3 linked regions of the Stegostoma tigrinum genome follow. The protein of the gene in region 1 purifies or fractionates together with the protein of each later gene. This does not show direct contact. Links are inferred from orthologs where the notes say so. Each region holds a gene or a part of one and is shown in the gene's direction. Other genes may lie near its edges.

Region 1 (7,596 bases):
AAAACTATTTGTAACCTCAGAGCTTAACTAAATTATCATTTATATATAAACTCAGTATATAATCTATATGCCAGTTCACGATCTTAAAAGCTTGATTTGTAAGTCATCATGATAAGCTGAATTGAATATTTTATACACTCTAGATATCTAAGCTGGATTGCATGCACAAGGTAAAAAAAGGACTCATAAACTACAAACTAGTGCAGCAGAGAAGAAGGCCATTGAGAACAATGAGATCAGCATTACTTTTAAAAGAAAATCCAATCAGTAAAATTCACCCATTCTTTCTTCATAGGACTGCAATTTGTCTCCATCAGTTGTTTGTCCAAATCCTTTGTTGAAGATGGCTAGTGTATCTGTTTCCAGTGTCTGATGAGCCAAATTCTGATAATTCCAAATCCTAACAACTCATTGAATAAAGATAGATTTTCCTCATTGTCTCAAATCAATCACCTGAAATCCCTGGTTGTCACATCTTGGAATTTCTCTCTCTGTCTATTTATTCTGTTTGAACATTATATGATCTGAAACACCTTGATCACAACTCAGGTAAACCTTCTCTAATCTGATAGTCTCTCTAGTTTCTCTAGTCAGTCTAAATGACTGCAATCCCTCAACACTAGAACTATTCTAGTAAATCTCTGCGTCCTTTCTAAATCTTTAACAAACCTCTTTAAGTACAGAGCCTAGAATTTGACAAAGAATTCCATTTGGTATTGAATTAGTGCTTTATGTAGGTTTAGAATCACTTCCTGGAGTGCTATTCCATACTTTTGTCATGAAACCCAGTCCTGCTTTGGTACAGCACTTCCCGTAACTTTATCACTTCACAAGCACTTTAGTACTTTTGATATACAGTAAATGTTGCAATGTATGAAACTGGATGAATAACAAATACCTATAAATAGCAATTTGATAAGAGTCAGAGAATCAGCTTAGTGATGTTTCTTGGGAAGAAATATTATCTGGGCCACCAAGGAAACTGCCCTACACCCCATTGAATTACGTTTCACATTTTTAAATTCAGGAATGAGAGGATGATACTTTAGTTTAACATCTGATCTGAAAGGTGTCACCTCCAATTGGGAGATGGATGAACAAGATTCCAGCATTAGCACTGAGGTGGATTTAGCTGTAAAAGAAGCTTCAAAGATGGGAGAGGTGATTTTGGGAATGGATTTGAAACAATGATAAAGATTTTTACATTTGAAGTATTGGTGGACAGGTAACTGATGTAATTTAATTAGAATGGGCTTTGGCATGGGATAGGATGTGAGCATCAGAAATTTGAATGCGCTGAAGTTTGCAAATAGCAGATGATGGATAACTGGCCAAAGGAACATTAGAATTGTTGGATCTGTTGTATAAAGGTAATGGCTCTGAAAGAGTTAATGTTACATTGACTCCACTATTCTACAGCTGTCATACACACACCTTGTACATTATTCTAGCTTTTGGAGGGACCAGATACATCTCTATCAGATCACTAAGGTCTTAATAATTATACATGGCAAAAAACAGTTGCACTTTGTACGATAATGCAGTAAACCTTCCTGTTATTTAAAAATAGATCTCTGTTTTAGATAACCTATAGTGGTGGATCCTCAACCATTTATAACTAGACAGACTGAATACAAAACAAAGACAAAGGGGAATGGTATATCTGTCAGTGAACTATCAAACAACTCTTACCCAGTACCACATACTGGCAGAAGTAGCAGATACCAGGATTGTTCAACAGGGAATACCACAGGATCCAAAGGGTGCAAAGGCTTTGATGAAGGTTTGACCAGTAAATGTCCAAAGGCAAGAATGTATTGGAGGTGGGAGGAAGTGATGATTATAATGGAGGGAATGAAAATCAGGTTCAATAGAACATACCCACAGGTGCAAACAGCTGCTTCCAGTGGCTGGAGCTGTTTGAATGATGGAATCACTGCATTTGATCTTGGAATGGGATGTCATAAAGAAAATAGCTGCAGTCTTACCAATATTTAGTTGGAAGAAATAAAGCTTAGATTTTGGAGATGCAGTCTTTTAATAGCAATGAATGTTTCACAGGACCATGTTCCCATGTTTATAGATGATGGTACCTGGGACCACTATTGAAGGGAGATGTTGTTTTCCCAATGTATCAAAGACTGCTGATTTTGGACACCCATCCCTAGATCATAGAATCTCTACAGTGCAGATGGAATCCATTCAGCCCATCCAGCCCGCACTGACACTCAGTACAGCACCCCACCCTAATCTTGTGACCCTGCAACCCCAAATTAACCATGGCTAATCCACCTAGCCTGCACACTCCTGGACACTACCAGACAATTTAGCATGGCCAAACCAGCTAACTTGCACATATTTGGAACTTGGGAGGTAACTGGAGCACCTGGCACAAACATGGGGAGAATGTGTCACTCCACACAGTTACCCAAGGCTGGAATTGAAGCCGGGCACCGGGTGCTGTGAGGCAGCAGTGCTAATCACTAAGCCACCACGCCAAAAATCTGAGAAAGTGGAAGATGTTAGATGTATGCTCCTGGGAGAACTGGATTACATGGACAAGAATGGTTGCAGGTTAGCTAGCTCAGTTGGCCAGAGGCTGGTTTGTGAGGCAGAGTAACACCAACAGCATGGATTCAGTTCCCATGCTGGTTGAGGTTACCATGAGGGACTCTCCTACTCAACATTTTCCCTTGTCTAAGGCGTGGTAACCCATCGCCAGTTGTCTCTTTCTCGAAAAAGAATACTGTGGGACCTTTATACTGTAGTTCAAGGCAAATAGCCGTGTGAAGTTTAGTTTGGCCCCCGGTCTTTGCCACATGAGTGCATATCCATAGACGGATTCCTATTGTTAACAGTAGTTAAATCCCTATGAAGTTTGCTGGATTTCCTCTTTTCGAAACACCGGCGCGGTATTTCGGTGATTAATACTGCTGCCTCGCAGCGCCAGGAACCCGGGTTCGATTTCCCCTCCTCCGGTGACTGTGTGGCTCTCTCCGGGTGCTCCGGTTTCCGCCCACAGTCCAAAGATGTGCAGGCCAGGTGGATTGGCCACACTAAATTGCCCATAGTGTTCAGCGGTGTGTAGATAGGTGGGTTTATAGGGGGATGGGTCTGTGTGGGATGCTCTGAACTTGTTGGGCCGAAGGGCCTATTTCCACACCAGAGGGATTCTATGATAAATCTCGCAAGTAACTCGAGCAAATTTCCAAGATAATAAAATGTGAGGCTGGATGAACACAGCAGGCCAAGCAGCATCTCATTGTCCCCATGTCCGACACTTTGCTTCCCTTCCTAAGAAACAGACTTCACTGCACTGTTACCCTGTTTGGAAAACATTTTCCCATTACAATGCAAGTATCAGTTGAACTTTCGTCACTAATTTGCCGGAGTTTGTCTCGCCCTTCCTATGCCAGCACAAGAATGCCCTGCATCCGTGCATTAACACTCGATCTCCTCTCACACATTCTCTCCCTCTCGCTGGCTTGTCGATGTTCGCCTCTTGCCTCCCACAGCGGGTCTTGCCCAAGCCTTGCTGCTCGCTATGATTCACTGCGAAGTCATGTATGCATTCCCTATTTTCCGCTGTAGCTGGGAACTTGGCGTTCTGTGCACTGAAAAGCGGCAGCTCTTCAAGTCAGAGCTCCCTTTACAGCCCAGAGGAACTGGCGGTCTGCCACAAGGACCAGCGATCACTACCTACTTTCACGTTACTATCTTCCTTCCGCAGGGTAATAGTAATAGAGAGCTGCAGCAGATTTGCTGAAATCCTCCAGTTTGGGAAGCTATGTCTGGTGACAAAACCGGGGATTTTGAGGTAAGGAAGAGTCGCGCCCGCCTTATTACAACTAAATGAGACCACAGCTGAGGAACGGGACAATAATAATGATCTGATGCAAGATAGTAACAATATTTGGGGGGGGGGGGGGTGTTGCTGTACCGGTTTTTCATTGTGAAGAGCGTAGGCAAGGTTGCCTGTTGATTGTGAACGCACACTGCAAAATAACTGAACCTATCGTGACTTTGAAACAAAAATACTTGGCCATAAAAGAAGCTAGAAAATACACGAGGCTTTTTTTCTTAAAAGAAGTCAATTATACACGTTAGATTGTTATTCAGACTTGTAAATCAGTGGAATATAAAAAATGTCTTGTGATCTGGGGAGACAGGACAACATATGGCGATGGTCTATGCTCCTCAGAATTGTCAGGAACAGGCTATTCGGCTGTTTGTGCCTGTCTCGCCAGTATGAGGAGGTAAATCCATATTCCAATCTTATCCCTTCAGCCATCTGCCTCCAGAATTAGATCAGTCCCTGGTGGTTTATACCCAAGGACTGAGCATTCAAAGCTCTCGGGGGGCGGCAAGCTTCATTGTACTCATTCCTAAATCGCAGAATCCTTATTGTGCGTCTGCCATGCCGTCTCCCCAACTTGAACCTACCAAATCCCTCCAGCATTTTCTGTTCCTCTGGCGTTCATCGATATTCTTGTAACCATGCAAAAGTGGCAATTGACAAGAGGTAACTTATGGATGGTGTCAGTTCGATAGGATTTAACCTGTAGGATCCTTCATTAAAATGAGGGATTCACAGGAGAACTGAAGCCCATGAGAGGACATAGGCAGCGGTCTCTCTCTCTGTTTCAGAAGACGAGTACAGTTTAAAGGGCGCCACTCTACACAGACCAAGGCGAGGAACCAGTTCTCGATTAGGTACCACAGTCAGTGCGGGGATTGAACCCGCTATTCTGTCCGACACGTTAACTTCGTACTGACACTCGGGTCTTAAGGAAGCTCCCCAAACAATCCCTTTCCTGTTAAAGGGACTGATCTCCGCGGTGACTCAGTTCTCAAACTGCTGGATTTATTAATCCTGCATTTGTTCTGCAAAACAAAACAGAACAGAACTTTCGGAGGAAGGGAATCAGAGGCTGGTGGATGTTCGTATACAGGTATTGAATTCGGTACCTCTTCGAGCAGTTGTGCATTGCCCAAAGGGGATGGGGAGGGAGAGAGAGAGGGTGGGAAGGCCGGCTGTAGGAGAATTCGACGCCGTGTTCAGTTAGAGAGCGGTTTCTGGACTCGAAGTCTTACAAGATGATGTCCCAACAAAACGGGCAAGAGGTAGCCTGGATGATGGTGTCCCTGGTGCGAGATTTTCCAGAGCTGCAGTGATTCACTATAGCCCGCAACGAGAGATTTCCCAGTGAGATGCAGTGCTGGACTGATTCACTGCATTCCTGAATAAAAACAAAATCCCAGTGAATGCATTGCTAGAGACTCACTACATCCCTAAATTGGAGAGATTTCCTAGATGGTGCAGTACTGCAGTGTGTCACTTTATCCCTCAGTTGGAAGACATTTGAGGGGGTGCATTACTGGAATGACTCCCTTTTATCCCTAAGTTGGAGTGATCTCCCAGAGGGTGTATAACTGGAATGACTCACTTGTATCCCTGGCAGTGAGGGAGATTTCCCAGTGGGTCAGTACTGTAGTGACTCACTGTATCCAGGCGAGCCCCCGTGCTGCCCCCTGCTGCCAGATGGAAATGGTTTTGCTGCCGCCAGCTCCGGTTTACAGGGGTGTGGTGCCGCTTTACTTTTCCACTTAAATACGATCAGGCTCCACAAAGTTCCTCTTAAGCATCAAGCAGCGACTACCTTCCGAGTTTTATGTTGGAACAACTCAAAGTCAGCTTAAACAAGGAATTGTTGTAACCCTTCCCAGGGACTTTTATACCCGTCGCCGATCAGAGACCACGGGAACATTTACAAACCCAATAATAAAATGGAAGATGAGAAGTTGAACGAGAAATACGTGACAGATGTTCACACCAAAGAGATCGATTTAATCAACAGAGATCCAAAACATCTGAACGAAGATGTGGTTAAGGTAAGGAAGAGAGACGAACTTTGTTAAAGTTGGGAATAATACAGGAATTAAAGTTAAATGTTTGTATAGAAGGTAGTCAGAGGTAACAGGTTTGCAGGGACAAGGTTATTACCCAGTACGATTCCAACTGCTCGCAGTCCTATTGACGAACCCCTGCTACCAATTATAATTTTTCCAGTTTCTCTGGGAGTCGTGTCTCCCCGTGAAGCATCGAATTTTCGACCCCCAGGGAGGATATGAATTGATGTTGAGCTACTGATGTGTTTGATAGACACCAGGGATGGATTGCTGTTGAAAGCTATCACAAAAAACATGGAATTGGCCGAGAGATGATTCATCTGTGAAATAGCCTGAGATTTCAGCGACAGACCGGAACTTGTAAACAGCGTGAAAAGTGCAGGGTCCTCCCGGTGTGTTGAAAGGACCGTGTGGATTATACTGAGTGCATAAAAGGCATTTATCAAAACTGCACCCTGCAAGCAACACCATACCCCGCTGCACTCATCACCCAACCCACTGCTCTGTAACCACTCAACCCACACCCCAGTCCACATCACCCACCTTCCCCAGGCCACTGCTGTGTACCCACTGCACCCGATTACTCTGTAACATTTCAAGCCGGTCCACTGAACCTATCCCCCGCCCGCTGATCTTTACCTACTCAAGTGACTCAACTGTCCACTCCACCCATCCTCCAACTCACTGCATTGTGTCCACTACCCCCATCCCCCAGCTCACTGTCCATTTCCCACTTCATTGTTCTGAGTCTGCTGTTCCCAGCCCACTGCTCTGTGCCCTGAGCTCCACCACTGCTCACTGCATCCAACATGAAGTCCACTGACCCCATTCCTCTGTATACTGCTCTGTGCCCATTGTGCTAATCCCCACCACTTACATTGTTCATTGCATCCATCCCTCTGCCAGTAAAATTAAGACAGACATGGCTAGGGTGAATAGTTGGAGTTTTTTTTCCCAGGATGGAAATTTCAAAATCTAAGGAGCATATGTTTAAGATGGACAGGGGGAATTTAAAGGAGACGTGCAAGGAAAGTTTTTATGCAGAGGGTGTCAGATGAGGTGGTAGAAGCAGATAATATGGCAATGTTTAAGAGGCATTTAGACAGATGCATGAACAGGCAGGGAATAGAGGAATATGGACCTTATGCAGGTAGACAGGATTAATTTAGAATGGCACCATGGTCAGCACAGACATGGTGGGCCAAAGGGCCTGTAATTGAACTGTACTGTACTGTGTTCTATGTCCTGTGTAGATGCACCCATCCACCAGTCTGGTGCACTGTGGTCACTGTACCCAGCACAAAGTCCCATGCATCCATCCTCCAGCCCACTACATTATGCTCACTGTACCCAGCATCAAGCCAAGCTCACTGTATCCAGCACTGTGTGGAGTTACCCAGCACCCAGCCTTCAACCTGCTGCATTCAACAATTAGTTCATTCCACACAGTCAAAAACTTTTATAGAAACTGACTACCTGCCAAACTCTTACTAATTCATATGTACATATTATCAAAAGAATCCAGCAAACCAAATTAGCTTATTTACCAATTTCAGTCTGATGTTGGATGGATGAGGTAACGATCACATAAAACAGATAAAAATAACCAGAGAAAAGAATAACTGGAACTTCTTTTGTATTTGTCATTGTTCCCTCGCATAAAAGTGACATGTTGATGTGATTAAA
Region 2 (7,596 bases), on another chromosome or scaffold:
TAAGGGTTGTGCATACATTTTTGCTCAGACACTAGTGATTTAAATTCACTAAATCTAATAACAATTTACAGAAATTTGAATAGTACAGTACTAAATTATTAAGAAATGATGAATTGGAATGAGAGTTCACTAGTACATTACAACTGCGTGAGGATTTTTGAACATTTTATTCGTTCATTTGTCTTTATTTTCAATTAAATGCGATTTTTTTAAAGAAACACAAGTTATCAGTCTTTATTAATTTTCAAACATGCTGTTGTTATAAAAATGACAGCACCAGTTATCTTATGAAAGCAATGTTCAAGCAACAGCAATGAATCAAATGATCGATTCATTGAGGAATTAGTTCAGAGAGGATACTAGAAATTTGCTGCTCTTAGAAAAGTGTCTCATGACGTTTTAACATTCAGTTGAACAGACATGTGGCATTAACAGTTGACTGGACAGTCAGAAGCAGTCTGACAGTCAGAAGCATCCAAAAGGACATATGGCATGTTATGCTGAGGCCTATTCTACATTATTAGTGTTTTGCATTACTTGAATAACATGAGAAACACGTGACACATTTGCTGTAAATTCAAGATCTGCCAAACCCTACCTTGTGCTTAATCCTTAATCTTCAAAAATTACTCACTTGCAAGAACTCGCATTAACTACTTATACCCCATTCAGTGTGCAGAATTACTTCAATCAGTACTGGCAGGTGGTCTATTATAGCTACCTCTCTGACAAGCAGACATTGGGCAAAATTCCCTAATTCATTTCATTTCCAGTTGGGATACTCCAATCTGCTAAACTCCCCACATGAAGAAGGATGAACTGGCTCCCGTTCCAAATTCACCCACCTTCTCGTTACAGTTTGTGTACACAAATCTACATAGGAAGTACCATAGTCTGCTCAAGTTCAATGTCAGTAGCTATTCCAAACCTTTTGGAAAAGGCATTTAGAAAAAGACATGCCCTCAATGCGATTCATATATTTACTGGGATGTGGAGCAACAGATTGGTGTAGGCTGCAAATATTCTCGCACTACAGCCACCATCTCCTCCCAAACTCCTGTTGGATACCAAATCAATGCCAGAGTTTGGATTTTGCATAACTTCTACAACCAATCTGGAGGTGAGGTTCTCCAAAGTTATTACGGTTCTGGATGGATACCCAAAATCATTAAGCTGCCAAGAGAGATAGGATGAACTCGCTCCCTGTCTTTATTTATCTATCTTCTCAGTTGGTTGCAACAAAGTTATTTTAGACAGGATTCCTCTGTGTGGAATCCTTTCTCGCAGACCAAATTAATGTTTTAAAAGGGGCAATTTGAACTTCTTTCTTGAGTGAACAAATGAGTGATATTATTGGTTACTTGATGTGAAAAGAATCAATAAAGTAATATGCTTACATGCAGATAGGAATAAGAAGTGAGCCTTAAAAAAAACACAAAAATATACTTGACTTTGTAGTGCTGAGGGTCTTTTCTGAGAGCATGATTTTATGAATCGATTGTTCAATTTTTAGTACATACAATTTATTAGCATGAATAGTCCTCATGCCGTTCAGCATTTTAAGTGGTGGTGGCATATATTAGTTTTCAATCTCCTGGAAACTAGTTTCAGTTATGTTAGTGTGTTATTTTATGAACTATTAAATTATGCACCCTTTCTGGTCAAATATTCTTAAAATTTCATAGTTTGCATTCCTAAAACTCATGAGGTGATTCGTGTTCAGCCTCTATTTGAAGAATCTTTGCTTAGGAAGAGATCTAAGCAGGAATTTGCTTTCAAAACCTGAAGCAAAACCATGCCTCAGCATAAATGTGATGCCTTACAGATTGTGCACTGTGCAAGCTGTCACACTCATGGGGAGGGCATCAATCAGTTGGGATCATGATTACTTTGCATTAGTTTTAGTTTGACGGCTATCAATTTATTTACCACTGGATCACACCCATATGTTCCAGAAAGAAACAGCACCATACAGTTAAGTCCATCTGCTCTCTCAATCGCTGACCGAATTAAATCATCACTATGTCATTGAGTCATGCAGCTGTACAGCACAAACGTTTCAGTCCGACCAGTCCACGCTGAACATAATCCCAAACTAAGCTAGTCCCACCTGCCTCCTCATATGCTTAGGTGAGATGAGGCAGAAAAAGTAAATGTGCTTACACATGATTCTGTGGTTAACCTCTCACTGGAGGCTATAGATGGAGGAACCGGACATGAAACATGGCTGACCCAAGAGGCTCTCTCACCACTGCCATAGGCTACCAGAAAGTGATAAACAGCCTGGTTAGCCGTGACACCTTCACTGCCCATCAAGTTATTCAACAGACCTACATTCATATGTTGAACTAGATGGCAAAATGTGTTCAGAAATTTATGATAAATCCACAAACACCAGTTTTCACCTTTCCATTCTGGACAAACTCCGTGACCCGAGGTCAACCACCCAGCGGACCAGAACCCAGCTCTTAATTCCGGAACGGTTCTGGTAGACCCGTAAAGAGACCTGTATTTTTGAAACTGACCATGTCCTGGAGTGGGACTTGAACCCAAGCTCCTGACTCAAAAGACAGCACTCACCACGCCACAAAACCTCCCTGACCCAACTGTACAAAGCACTTGAATCACCACATAGGGTAAATAAAATAACATTCAAATGTTGGTTCCTTTCTCTTTAAAAAACAGTCGTTTAACATTCTACCTGTTTGTATAGTGAAATCGTTTAAAAGTGAGAGAAGGGTTGATGTTTAAATGATTGTGGTTGGCGATCGGGCTTGTATCTGGGAACGGGAAGGGACCGGGGCGGGGAGGTACAGGAGTGTGGACTGGGCTTAGTGGAGGGGTTAAGTCTGAGGCAGCAGCGCCCAGGGTCGGGGTGGGGGGGTCAGAGCGGTGGGTGATAAATTCTGCTGCTCATTTTCAGGCATTCGACGTCAGAGGGAGAGAGAGCTGCAATCATGATTTATTTGTTGCTCATCCGGGTTCCGCTGCTGTATCCAATGCCTTGATGTATCTCTGTGCCTTGCTCTGGGGTGGGGACTGTTGATCTCTGTCTCTGTCTCTTTGTGTGTGTGTGTGTGTGTGTGTGTGTCTCCCAGCGCTCCGCTGACTGATCAGTTCTCGCTAGATGTGGAATGTGTTGAATATTTAATGGCTCGGGGATGGACATAGCTCTGGTGAGGTTGCAGGACGGTGGCGCCGCTCTGGGGAGCTGCCAGAGAGGTGGAGGTGGTGCTGGTGGAGGAGGAGGAGGAGGAGGAGGCGGAATCTTAGCGCCCCTGGGTGTGAGCGCTGCTGGCCCGGCGGCCAAGGGCTACCTGGACCCCCCGGCTCCGGGCGAGATGAACGCGGCGGGGCCGCTGAAAGCCGTGGACCAGGCGCCGCCGGTGGACAACCTGCAACAGCAGCAACTGCTGGAAGTCAACCGCTCGGAGCGGGTGGTGATCAACATCGCCGGGCTCCGGTACGAGACCCAGCTGAGCACCTTGAGCCAGTTCCCGGACAGCCTACTTGGAGACCCCGAGAAAAGAATCAGGTACTTCGACCCGCTGAAGAACGAGTATTTCTTCGACCGCAACCGGCCGTGCTTCGACGGCATCCTGTACTTCTACCAGTCGGGCGGCAGGATCCGCAGACCCGTCAATGTCTCCATCGACATGTTCGCCGACGAGATCCGCTTCTACAAGCTGGGACCCGAGGCCATGGAGAGGTTCCGTGAGGATGAGGGCTTCATCAAGGAAGAGGAGAAGCCTTTGCCTCGCAATGAGTTCCAGAAGCAGATGTGGCTCCTTTTCGAGTACCCGGAGAGTTCCAGCCCTGCCCGGGGTATCGCCATTGTCTCGGTGCTGGTCATTGTCATCTCCATCATCATCTTCTGCCTGGAAACCTTACCCGAGTTCCGCGATGACCGCGACAGTGCCAGCAACTCTCCGCTCAACACCAGCGCCCAGAGCCCCGGGACTGGGGACAACAGTAGCCTCAGTGACCCCTTCTTCATCATCGAGACCACCTGCGTGGTCTGGTTCACCCTGGAGCTGCTGGTCCGCTTCCTGGCCTGCCCCAGCAAGTCGGTCTTCGCCCGGGACATCATGAACATCATCGACATTGTGGCCATCATCCCGTACTTCATCACCCTGGGCACTGAGCTGGCCGAGCAGCAGACCAATGGTCAGCAGGCCATGTCCCTGGCCATCCTCAGGGTCATCCGCCTGGTGCGGGTCTTCCGCATCTTCAAGCTCTCCCGCCACTCCAAGGGTCTCCAGATCCTGGGCCAAACCCTCAAGGCCAGCATGAGGGAGCTGGGCCTGCTCATCTTCTTCCTCTTCATCGGGGTCATCCTCTTCTCCAGCGCCGTCTACTTCGCCGAGGCGGACGAGCCGCGCTCCCACTTCTCCAGCATCCCCGATGCCTTCTGGTGGGCGGTGGTCACCATGACCACGGTGGGCTATGGGGACATGAAGCCGGTCACCATGGGCGGCAAGATCGTGGGGTCGTTGTGCGCCATCGCCGGCGTCCTGACCATCGCCCTGCCCGTGCCCGTCATCGTCTCCAACTTCAACTACTTCTATCACCGGGAGACGGACAACGAGGAGCAGGCTCAGTACCTGAAGGACGACACGGACAGCGAGCCCAGTCACTCAGAGGAACTGAAGAGGAGCAGGAGCTCCCTGGGCAAACCCTTGGAGAACAGTGAGGGGGTGAACAATGGCGCGGGGGCTCACCTGAAGGCCAACAGTGCCCCCGACATCAGGAAATCGCTGTACGCACTATGTCTGGATCCAAATACAGAGACCGACCTGTAGCCCCGGCCACTTTCCACATGACAACTCTCCAGACTTGTTTGGGGTTGACAAACTGAAAAAAAAAACCACTCAGCATTTGTACAAACCACACAGGTTAGATTAGTTAGGCGAGAAGAAAATATCAATTTTATACATCATTCTTTATCAGACCGTCAGATACATTCCAAGGGGTTTAGCTAAACACTTTGGCGCTGGTTCTTAATTTTTTTGGGGCGTGGGCTGTTGGAGGGGTTTGGGGTTGTTGATGAGACACCGGTTTTCTGCAGGTGCACAATAGGACAGCTGGAACTTGTGCACAGCTCCAGCCTCCGTCTTGTATTTGTTTTGCTTTCATTAATTGGAAACAAATGTAAAGTCTTAAAATTCCATAAGTTTATTTTTGAATTTGTAATTGAGGCAGGTGTGAAGTAGCTCAGTTTTCCTGTGAGGAAGAAAGGTCATGGACTATCCAACCCTTTGTTTCCTGCAATACTTTGCTCATGTTTTGTGTCATATATATTTATATATTTATATACATAAAATTAAGCGGTAGGAGTGGGAGGCGGAAATGTATTCAAACGCATCAAAGCCTGTCGTGATGAGAGTTCGCAACAGTGTTTGTTTTATTTACAATGTAGCTACCGTCAGAGAGAGAGGAAATTCAGTTTGCTTGGAGTCTTAAGGAAGACAAAAGTCGTATTTGTATTTAGGCAATGTGGGACTTCTCTGTTCGCAATATATTTTTTCAAAGTGTTCATGCGACAAAATTCGAACAGATCATACGAGAATTACTGAACAGTATATTTAGATAATTGGAGCATTCCTTGTTTATTTAATATTTATGGGGACTTAAATCAGCAACTTCAGCTTTTTGTACTGATTTTCCATGTTTGGAGAAGCACTAGACTCTCTCTTTGCTGGTAGAGCTGTCAAAGCTTATTGTACATCCACTTAATGTGTTGCAAATGATCTCATGTAAACAAAAATCCAAAGGAATTCGCTAGAGGATCCACTTGATCATATTTGTAATGACCTAAGTGAATGCATTGATTTATACTAATGTTGTAAAATAACTATTTTAAAATCTGCATATTTATTCTGAACAGTAAATCTGCAAAACTGGGTTCTCTAAGAACAGACGAAGATTGGGATTAAGTACCTGAAGTTTAACACATGAACTGTGAAGTAATAAAAGTTGATACCACAGAGTGATGAAACAACAAAAGATAACCAACACATTTTTTTGAACTGGAAACACATTTTAGATGATGACAAATCATTCTGGATTTGATATTTGCTATGACTCGTCTTTTATCTTTTGAAAATGTTTAGAGGAAGTGAACTTTGGACAACATTATATGTTAGGGACTGCCTTATAACTATCGCAAAGCTATAACAATTTGAAACAAATCTTGTGATGTGGAAGGATTTTTACCAGATTCTGAACCGATATTCAGAACACCCATGTCTTCAAATGGACAAAACACCTGTCTCTTGTGAGTGGCTCACTGCTGCAGGCACATGATCGAAGGTTAGTGTTTTACCATTTCTTTTTAAAACTTTGCTTTGCTTAAAAAGTAAACAAAAAATGAAGATTTTAAAAAGGGTACCATTTCTTTCATTTGTAACCCTTTTAAACATAAAAAAATTGAGTTACAGGACATTGTGAAATTATCAAAGTACTATCTACATTCATTTAAAAAATACAAGATCTTTCATTCTAATGCAGCTGTTTTGCTATTAAATGCACAGATAATTACTGGCTTTGTGAAAAGTATCAACAAAGAGCTACCATAATGATTTCACTGTGAGCTTATTAGTGTATTATCTGCTTTGCTGAATGACATTACTTTGATTGGCAGGTAGCCCTCTGCTGATGAGCAATCCATACCTTGAGACTTGAGCCTTTTATGTTAATTTCAGATGTTAATTACATAATGTTAGCAAGAACTTTGTAAATACTTACGATCTCTGATTCTGATATTTACATTTGAAGTTTTCTTCTGCCTTACATATACAGAAAGTTTACAAAATTACTTGAACATTAATTAGCACTATCTTGTTTCATAGATAATTTTCAAAAGAAATCTGAGACTGTTTTACAACCACATATCTGATATGGATTGTGCAACCACCTGGGGGAGACCACACCATTAGATATAATGTCCTGCCTTATTTAACAAAAATAGATTTCCAATTTCAAAACAGCTGAATTGAGAATCACCAGCATCAGTGCCACTCTTTTTATTCTTAAAAGATAAATGGAAAAGGGTGTTTTGGTTCATGATTTATGGGTCTTTCCTTGATATTGCCATCTTATACACTCCATGGGTTCTTAACATAAATTTAATTTGGTTTGCAGGAAATCTGTTTAGAACAATAGTTTATAACTGCTGTTTACAGCATTTTACCATTTGACAGTGTACATATGTCGGCATGTTCAGAGATCAAATGAATTCAGATGGCTGACTGTTTCAACATTACAGACTTAAGATTTTCTGTGTTGCTGGGTGATTGCGACATCATACCCACAGCAGGAAGATTTCTTCTGATCACCATTTCTCGTGAAAACATGAATACATTCTCAAATAACATGATTTTAATTTTGCTAGGAATACTAACCAAAGGAAATCTTCCTTTTACATTTTAATGTTGCATGTGCTTAGTGGCCAAGAAGAAAACAGTCCTGATTGTCATCGTATTTTGTTTGATGTTGTTTCTATTTATTTCTTATGCACATACATGTTTAAAGATTGTACTTTTCATTAATGAAGTGCTGAGCTCTTTTGTGTTTAATTATTTGTGAGTATTTGTT
Region 3 (7,596 bases), on another chromosome or scaffold:
CCATTTCGAAGACATGGATAGAGCAGGACAGGAATGGTTGTTGCAGGTTCCGGGGTTTAGGTGTTTCAGTAAGATCAGGGAAGGTGGTAAAAGTCGGGGGGGGGGGGGGTGTAGCATTTGTAGTCAAGGACAGAATTATGGTGGCAGAAAGGATGTTTTATGAGGACTCGTCTACTGAGGTAGTATGGGTTGAGGTTAGAAACAAGAAAGGAGAGGTCACCCTGTTGGGAGTTTTCTATAGGCCTCCGAAAAGTTCCAGAGATGTAGTGGAAAGGATTGCTCAGATGATTCTGGATAGGAGCGAAAGTAACAGGGTAGTTGTTATGGGTGACTTTAACTTTCCAAATATTGACTGGAAATGCTATAATTCGAGTATTTTAGATGGGTCAGTTTTTGTCCAATGTGTGCAGAATGGTTTCCTGACACAGTATGTAGACAGGGAAACAAGAGGCGAGGCCACATTGGATTTGGTACTGGGTAATGAACCAGGCCAGGTGTTAGATTTGGAGGTACGTGAGCACTTTGGTGATAGTGACCACAATTATCGCCACATTTACTTTAGCGATGGAAAGGGAGAGGTATATACTGCAGGGCAAGAGTTATTGCTGGGGGCAAGATAATTATGAGGCGATTAGACAAGATTTAGGATGCATAGGATGGGGAAGGAAACTGCAGGGGCTGGGCACAATTGAAATGTGGAGCTTGTTCAAGGAACAGCTACTGCGTGTCCTTGATAAGTATGTACCTGTCAGGTACATAAAATAAAATGTCAGGCAGGAAGGAAGTGGTCGAGCAAGGGAACCATGGTTTACTCTTGTCAAGTGGAAGAAGGAGGCTTATGTAAAGATGAGACGTGAAGGATCAGTTGGGGCGCTTGAGGGTTACAAGTTAGCTAGCAAGGACTTAAAGAGAGAGCTAAGAAGATCCAGGAGGGGACATGAGAAGTCTTTGGCAGGTAGGATCAAAGAAAACCCTAAAGCTTTCTATAGGTATGTCGCGAATAAAAGAATGATTAGAGTAAGATTAGGGCCAGTCAAGGACAGTAGTGGGAAGTTGTGCATGGAGTCAGAAGAGATACGAAAGGCGCTAAATGAATATCTTTCACCAGTATTCACACAGGAAAAAGACAATGTTGTCGAGGAGAATACTGAGATACAGGATATTCGACTAGATGGAATTGAGGTTCATTAGGAGGAGGTTTTAGCAATTCTGGAAAGTGTGAACATACGAAAGTCCTCTGGCTGGATTTATAAATCCTAGGATTTATCCTAGGATTCTCTGGGAAACTAGGGAGGCGATTGCAGAGCCTTTGGCTTTGATCTTGATGTCGTCATTGTCTACTGGAATAATGCCAGAAGACTGGAAAATAGCAAATGTCCCCTTGCATTCAAATAAATATACTTCATACTGTCAGCCCACAGTATACATTAAACTGGCTATGTCTGTTATTCCTATTTGATTTAACTTATACCTTGTCCTCAGTAACTCCACATGCTGACCTATTGCTCTGGTTCCCACCTCAATGCACTCTAGTTTAAACCCTCCCACATAGTACGAGCAATCCTCCATGCAAGGTTATTGGTGCTCTTGCAGTTTAAGTGCAATCTGTCCTTCTTGTACAGGTTCTTCCTGACCTGGAAGAGATACCAATGATCCAGCTATCTGAAACCATTCCTTAAGATCAGCTGTTTAGTTAATCAACTCAATTATCTTATTTCTGGCCTCATGAGCACGTGGCACAGGGAGTAATCCTGAGATTATGACCTTAAAGATCCTGCTTTTCAACTTCCTACCTAATGCCCTAAATTTAATATGCAGGAACTCACTTCTCTTTCAATCTATGTTCTTAGTACCGATATGGACCATGACCCTGGTTGCTCACCTTCTCCCTCCGGAATGTCCAGTGGCAGCTCAGAGACATCCTTGACCTTGGCATCATGGAGTCAACACACCATATTGGTGTCTCACTCAAGGCCAAAGAAACGCCAACCTGTATCCCTGACTATAGAATCCCATCATTTCTGCTCACTTACACTTTGGCACTCCTTGTTGTACAGCAGAGTCAATCATGGTGCCACTGGTCTGGCTGCTGCTGTTGCTTTCCCTTGAGAGACCACCTGCATTCCCCTTCCCCAAAACGTATCCAAAACAATATTTCTGAAGAAGGGTCCAGACACAAAACATCAGTCTTCCTGTTCCTCTTAAGCTGCTTGGCCTGCGGTGTTCATCCAGCTCTACACCTTGTTATCTCAGATACTCCAGCATCAGCAGTCTCTATTATCTCCAAAACAATATACTTGTTTGAGAGGGGAATGCCACAGTTGACTCGTGCACTAACTGTCTATTTGGGTCACCAATCTAGCTGCCTGAACCTTCGGTGTGACCACATTTCTGAAAATCTTTCCTATAAAACTACTTCTCCAACCGATCCATTTACTCTGCGAGGAGCTGCAGGTGGACACACTATCTGCAGACATAGTTGTCATTGATTTCTCCCCAATCCCACATCTCACAGGAGGAGCACACAACTTGTAACAATTAGATTAAAATAAAATTACAGATCTTGTATTGAAATGCCTTAATATTGTTTATCATCCTCAGCAAAGCTGGATACTCAACAAATATGATTATAGTGATTGAAATGAGGTTGATCAGAGGGATCTCATTGAGTATGAATTCCCTGATTGGGGTTGTTAACCTGGGCCAATTAGGGAGTCCTGGCTAACAGATACAAACAGGAGTCCCAGGAATTTCCCTCAATCTGAGGACTGTCTCTGAGCTAGCTGGTCAGAGTGTACCGTACACGTGTGAATAAAGTGTGACTTGGTGACGGGGTACTGGCTTCTGTGGAGTTATTTCAATGATGAAGACTGGTCCTCCAACTCAGTTCTCTTTTCCCACTTTCTCAACATATCCTTGGCTCCATTTCAGCCTAAGATCTACAATGTCACTCCTTGAAAACATTCTACATTTTGGCCTCCACCGCTTCTTGTGGCAGGTAATTCCACAGGTTCACCACACACCAGGTGAAGACAATTCTCCTCAACTCAATAGGAAATGTTCCAATTCCATACCCTTACACTGACCAGGAGACAGTAGCGACTGCAGACTTTCCTGCTCCTCTGATGCTGTCTGACGTCCTCATACAGTGACCCCTGGTTCTGGACTCGCCGGTCGCTGGGAGCATCCTTTCTGCATTTACTGTGTCTAGTCCCTGTAAGAATTTTCTAGATTTCTGTCGGGTCTCCCCCCCCCCGCCATTCTTGTGGAAAACCAACAGAAACTGGCAGAGGTAAAGAAGACACCGAGATCGAAGTAGTGCGCATGCGCACAGCCGCCTCGTCAGCTCTCGGCTCCCATAATAAAAATAATAAATTGCTTTTCGGATTTTTTTTCACTGTTGTATTGCTGGGAGACATATTCTCCCGGAGGCTGGGGACGAATCGAAGACCAAAAAGACCCATGAATGGGAGCAAAGCAGCGGGAAGGCGTGCGGTAAGGGGCGGTGGATGGACAGTGAGCGCGCGGGCGGAGGGACGGTTTTCTGCCGCTCGCGCTGACCGCCCCCGGCGCTGGTTGTCGGACGGCGAGCATCATGGCCAGTCTGTACCAAAGCACCGAGTCGTCGTCTCCCAACAAATACCTGACATTAAAGGACGTGCGGGAAGTCAAGGAGGAGACCACCGTCGACGAGAAACTGTTCCTGCTGGCGTGTGAGAAAGGTAAGGCCGACCCCGGGGAACGGGGCACGACTCGTCTGTCAAACAACCGGCAGCTTCCCAACTCCTTTGCAGAACCTCCCCCCCCCCCCCGCAACGCCCCAGCACTCATCCATCCCCCCCCCCATCCCCCAGCACTCAACCAACCCCCCATCCCCCAGCACTCATCCATCCCCCACCCCCAGCACTCATCCAACGCCCCACACAACCCAGCACTCATCCAACACCCCCATCCCGCAGCACTCATCCAACCGCCCCCATCCCGCAGCACTCCTCCAACCCCCCCCCCGCACCCCCAGCACTCCTCCAACCCCCCCCGCACCCCCAGCACTCATCCAACCCCCCCCCTGCACCCCCAGCACTCATCCAACCCCCCCCCCGCACCCCCAGCACTCATCCAACACCCCCATCCCGCAGCACTCATCCAACCGCCCCCATCCCCCAGCACTCCTCCAACCCCCCCCCCCGCACCCCCAGCACTCATCCAACCCCCCCCCTGCACCCCCAGCACTCATCCAACCCCCCCCCCGCACCCCCAGCACTCATCCAACACCCCCATCCCGCAGCACTCATCCAACCGCCCCCATCCCGCAGCACTCCTCCAACCCCCCCCCCGCACCCCCAGCACTCCTCCAACCCCCCCCGCACCCCCAGCACTCATCCAACACCCCCCCCGCACCCCCAGCACTCATCCAACCCCCCCCGCACCCCCAGCACTCATCCAACCCCCCCCCTGCACCCCCAGCACTCATCCAACCCCCCCCCGCACCCCCAGCACTCATCCAACACCCCCCACCCCCCAGCACTCATCCAACACCCCCATCCCGCAGCACTCATCCAACCGCCCCCATCCCGCAGCACTCCTCCAACCCCCCCCGCACCCCCAGCACTCATCCAACACCCCCCCCGCACCCCCAGCACTCATCCAACCCCCCCCGCACCCCCAGCACTCATCCAACCCCCCCCCGCACCCCCAGAACTCATCCAACCCCCCCGCACCCCCAGAACTCATCCAACCCCCCCCGCACCCCCAGCACTCATCCAACCCCCCCAGCACTCATCCAACCCCCCCCCCGCACCCCCAGCACTCATCCAACCCCCCCCCCGCACCCCCAGCACTCATCCAACCCCCCCCCGCACCCCCAGCACTCATCCAACCCCCCCCCGCACCCCCAGCACTCATCCAACCCCCCCCACACCCCCAGCACTCATCCAACCTCCCAGCACTCATCCAACCTCCCAGCACTCATCCAACCCCCCAGCACTCATCCAACCCCCCACAGACCCCAGCACTCATCCAACCCCCCCCCCCACCTCCAGCACTCATCCAACCCCCCCCCACCTCCAGCACTCATCCAACCCCCCCGCACCCCTAGCACTCATCCAACCCCCCACAGACCCCAGCACTCATCCAACCTCCCAGCCCTCATCCAACCCCCCACAGACCCCAGCACTCATCCAACCTCCCAGCACTCATCCAACCCCCCACAGACCCCAGTACTCATCCACCTCCCCCCCCGCACCCCCAGCACTCATCCAACCCCCCACACCCCCAGCACTCATCCAACCCCCCACAGACCCCAGCACTCACACCCCCCCCCCCCCAACCCCCCGGCACTCATCCAACACCCCCCTCCCCCAGACCACACGGCACTCATCCAACACCCCCCTCCCCCAGACCACACGGCACTCATCCAACAACCCCTCCCCCAGACCACACGGCACTCATCCAACACCCCTCCCCCAGACCACCCGGCACTCATCCAACCCCGACCCGCCGGCACTCATCCAACACCCCCCCCCACCCACCGGCACTCATCCAACATCCCCCCCGCCCCGACCACCCGGCACTCATCCAACCACCCTCAACACCACCACCCCCCATCCAACCTCCCCCACCCCCCATTCAACCCCCCCCCCCCCCAGCAACCCCAGCACTCATCCAACACCCCCTCCCCCAACCCCCCGGCACTCATTCAACACCCCCCCCCCCCGGACCACCCGGCACTCCGACACCGCCCCCCAACCACCCGGCACTCATCCAACCCCCCCCCCCCCCACCCCCAGCACTCATCCAACCCCCCCCCCACCCCCAGCACTCATCCAACCCCCCCCCCCACCGCCACCCCCCATCCAACCGCCCCGCAACCCCAGCACTCATCCAACACCTCCGCAACCCCAGCACTCATCCAACACCTCCCCCCCCCAACCCCCCGGCACTCATCCAACAACCCCCCCCCCAGACCACCCGGCACTCATCCAACACCCCCCCCCCCCCAGACCCCCCGGCACTCATCCAACACGCCTCTACCCCCCGGCACTCATTCAACCCCTACTCCACCCCCTCCCCTGCACGTCTCGCCCCCCCCCCCTCCCCTGCACGTCTCGCCCCCCCCCTCCCCTGCACGTCTCGCCCCCCCCTCCCCTGCACGTCTCGCCCCCCCCCTCCCCTGCACGTCTCGCCCCCCCCCTCCCCTGCACGTCTCGCCCCCCCCTCCCCTGCACGTCTCGCCCCCCCCCCCCTCCCCTGCACGTCTCGCCCCCCCCCTCCCCTGCACGTCTCGCCCCCCCCCTCCCCTGCACGTCTCGCCCCCCCCCTCCCCTGCACGTCTCGCCCCCCCCCTCCCCTGCACGTCTCGCCCCCCCCCCCTGCACGTCTCGCCCTCCCCTCTCCTGCACGTCTCGCCCCCCCCCCTCCCCTGCACGTCTCGCCCCCCCCCCTCCCCTGCACGTCTCGCCCCCCCCCTCCCCTGCACGTCTCGCCCCCCCCCTCCCCTGCACGTCTCGCCCCCCCCCTCCCCTGCACGTCTCGCCCCCCCCCTCCCCTGCACGTCTCGCCCCCCCCCTCCCCTGCACGTCTCGCCCCCCCCCTCCCCTGCACGTCTCGCCCCCCCCCTCCCCTGCACGTCTCGCCCCCCCCTCCCCTGCACGTCTCGCTCGCCCCCCCCTCCCCTGCACGTCTCGCCCCCCCCTCCCCTGCACGTCTCGCCCCCCCCCTCCCCTGCACGTCTCGCCCCCCCCCTCCCCTGCACGTCTCGCCCCCCCCCTCCCCTGCACGTCTCGCCCCCCCCCTCCCCTGCACGTCTCGCCCCCCCCTCCCCTGCACGTCTCGCGCCCCCCCCCTCCCCTGCACGTCTCGCCCCCCCCCTCCCCTGCACGTCTCGCCCCCCCCCTCCCCTGCACGTCTCGCCCCCCCCTCCCCTGCACGTCTCGCCCCCCCCTCCCCTGCACGTCTCCTTGCCCCCCTCCCCCGCACGTCTCCCCTGCACGTCTCCCCGCCCGCACTTCCACCCCCCCCGTTCTCCTCCCTTGCACATCTTTCTCCCCCCCTTGCACATCTTCCCCCCCCCTCCCTTGCACATCTTCCCCCCCCCCTTGCACATCTTCCCCCCCCCCTTGCACATCTTCCCCCCCCCCTTGCACATCTTCCCCCCCCCCCTGCACATCTTCCCCCCCCCCCTTGCACATCTTCCCCCCCCCCTTGCACATCTTCCCCCCCCCCTTGCACATCTTCCCCCCCCCCTTGCACATCTTCCCCCCCCTCCCTTGCACATCTTCCCCCTCCCTTGCACATCTTCCCCCTCCCTTGCACATCTTCCCCCTCCCTTGCACATCTTCCCCCCCCCCTTGCACATCTTTCTCCCACCCTCTCCCTTGCACATCTTTCTCCCACCCTCTCCCTTGCACATCTTCCACCCTCTCCCTTGCACATCTTCCCCCCCCTCCTCCCTTGCACATCTTTCACCGCCCCCGAGCCTACAAACCCCGGTACCTATGCCTCCTTGCCTCCACTCCCGCATCCCCTTCCCTGACCCTTCACCCTGCCAACCCTTTACACCCAACCTTTCACCATTCCCCACAACCATTAACCCCCGAG

The links.
Region 2: the proteins of cav1 (region 1) and potassium voltage-gated channel subfamily A member 5-like purify together in Homo sapiens (affinity purification with western blotting, with the first as the bait; 3 studies listed by BioGRID). This does not show direct contact. The link is inferred for Stegostoma tigrinum from reciprocal best matches to the Homo sapiens genes CAV1 and KCNA5.
Region 3: the proteins of cav1 (region 1) and trpc1 purify together in Homo sapiens (affinity purification with western blotting; 3 studies listed by BioGRID and IntAct, with this or other methods). This does not show direct contact. The link is inferred for Stegostoma tigrinum from reciprocal best matches to the Homo sapiens genes CAV1 and TRPC1.

Annotation. Positions count from the first base shown.
Region 1 is NC_081371.1:34,144,538-34,152,133, forward strand, and holds the start of cav1 (caveolin-1), read left to right. Parts: upstream 1-3,469; 5' UTR 3,470-3,787; coding exon 3,788-3,817; intron 3,818-4,711; exon of another isoform or gene 4,712-4,952; intron 4,953-5,727; coding exon 5,728-5,892; intron 5,893-7,596. UniProt on the Homo sapiens protein: May act as a scaffolding protein within caveolar membranes. Forms a stable heterooligomeric complex with CAV2 that targets to lipid rafts and drives caveolae formation. Mediates the recruitment of CAVIN proteins (CAVIN1/2/3/4) to the caveolae.
Region 2 is NC_081378.1:40,106,184-40,113,779, forward strand, and holds the start of potassium voltage-gated channel subfamily A member 5-like, read left to right. Parts: upstream 1-3,284; 5' UTR 3,285-3,341; coding exon 3,342-4,802; 3' UTR 4,803-6,312; intron 6,313-7,596. UniProt on the Homo sapiens protein: Voltage-gated potassium channel that mediates transmembrane potassium transport in excitable membranes. Forms tetrameric potassium-selective channels through which potassium ions pass in accordance with their electrochemical gradient.
Region 3 is NC_081367.1:73,191,053-73,198,648, reverse strand, and holds the start of trpc1 (short transient receptor potential channel 1), read left to right. Parts: upstream 1-3,146; 5' UTR 3,147-3,595; coding exon 3,596-3,722; intron 3,723-7,596. UniProt on the Homo sapiens protein: Forms a receptor-activated non-selective calcium permeant cation channel. Forms a heteromeric ion channel with TRPC4 or TRPC5 that has reduced calcium permeability compared to the homomeric TRPC4 or TRPC5 channel.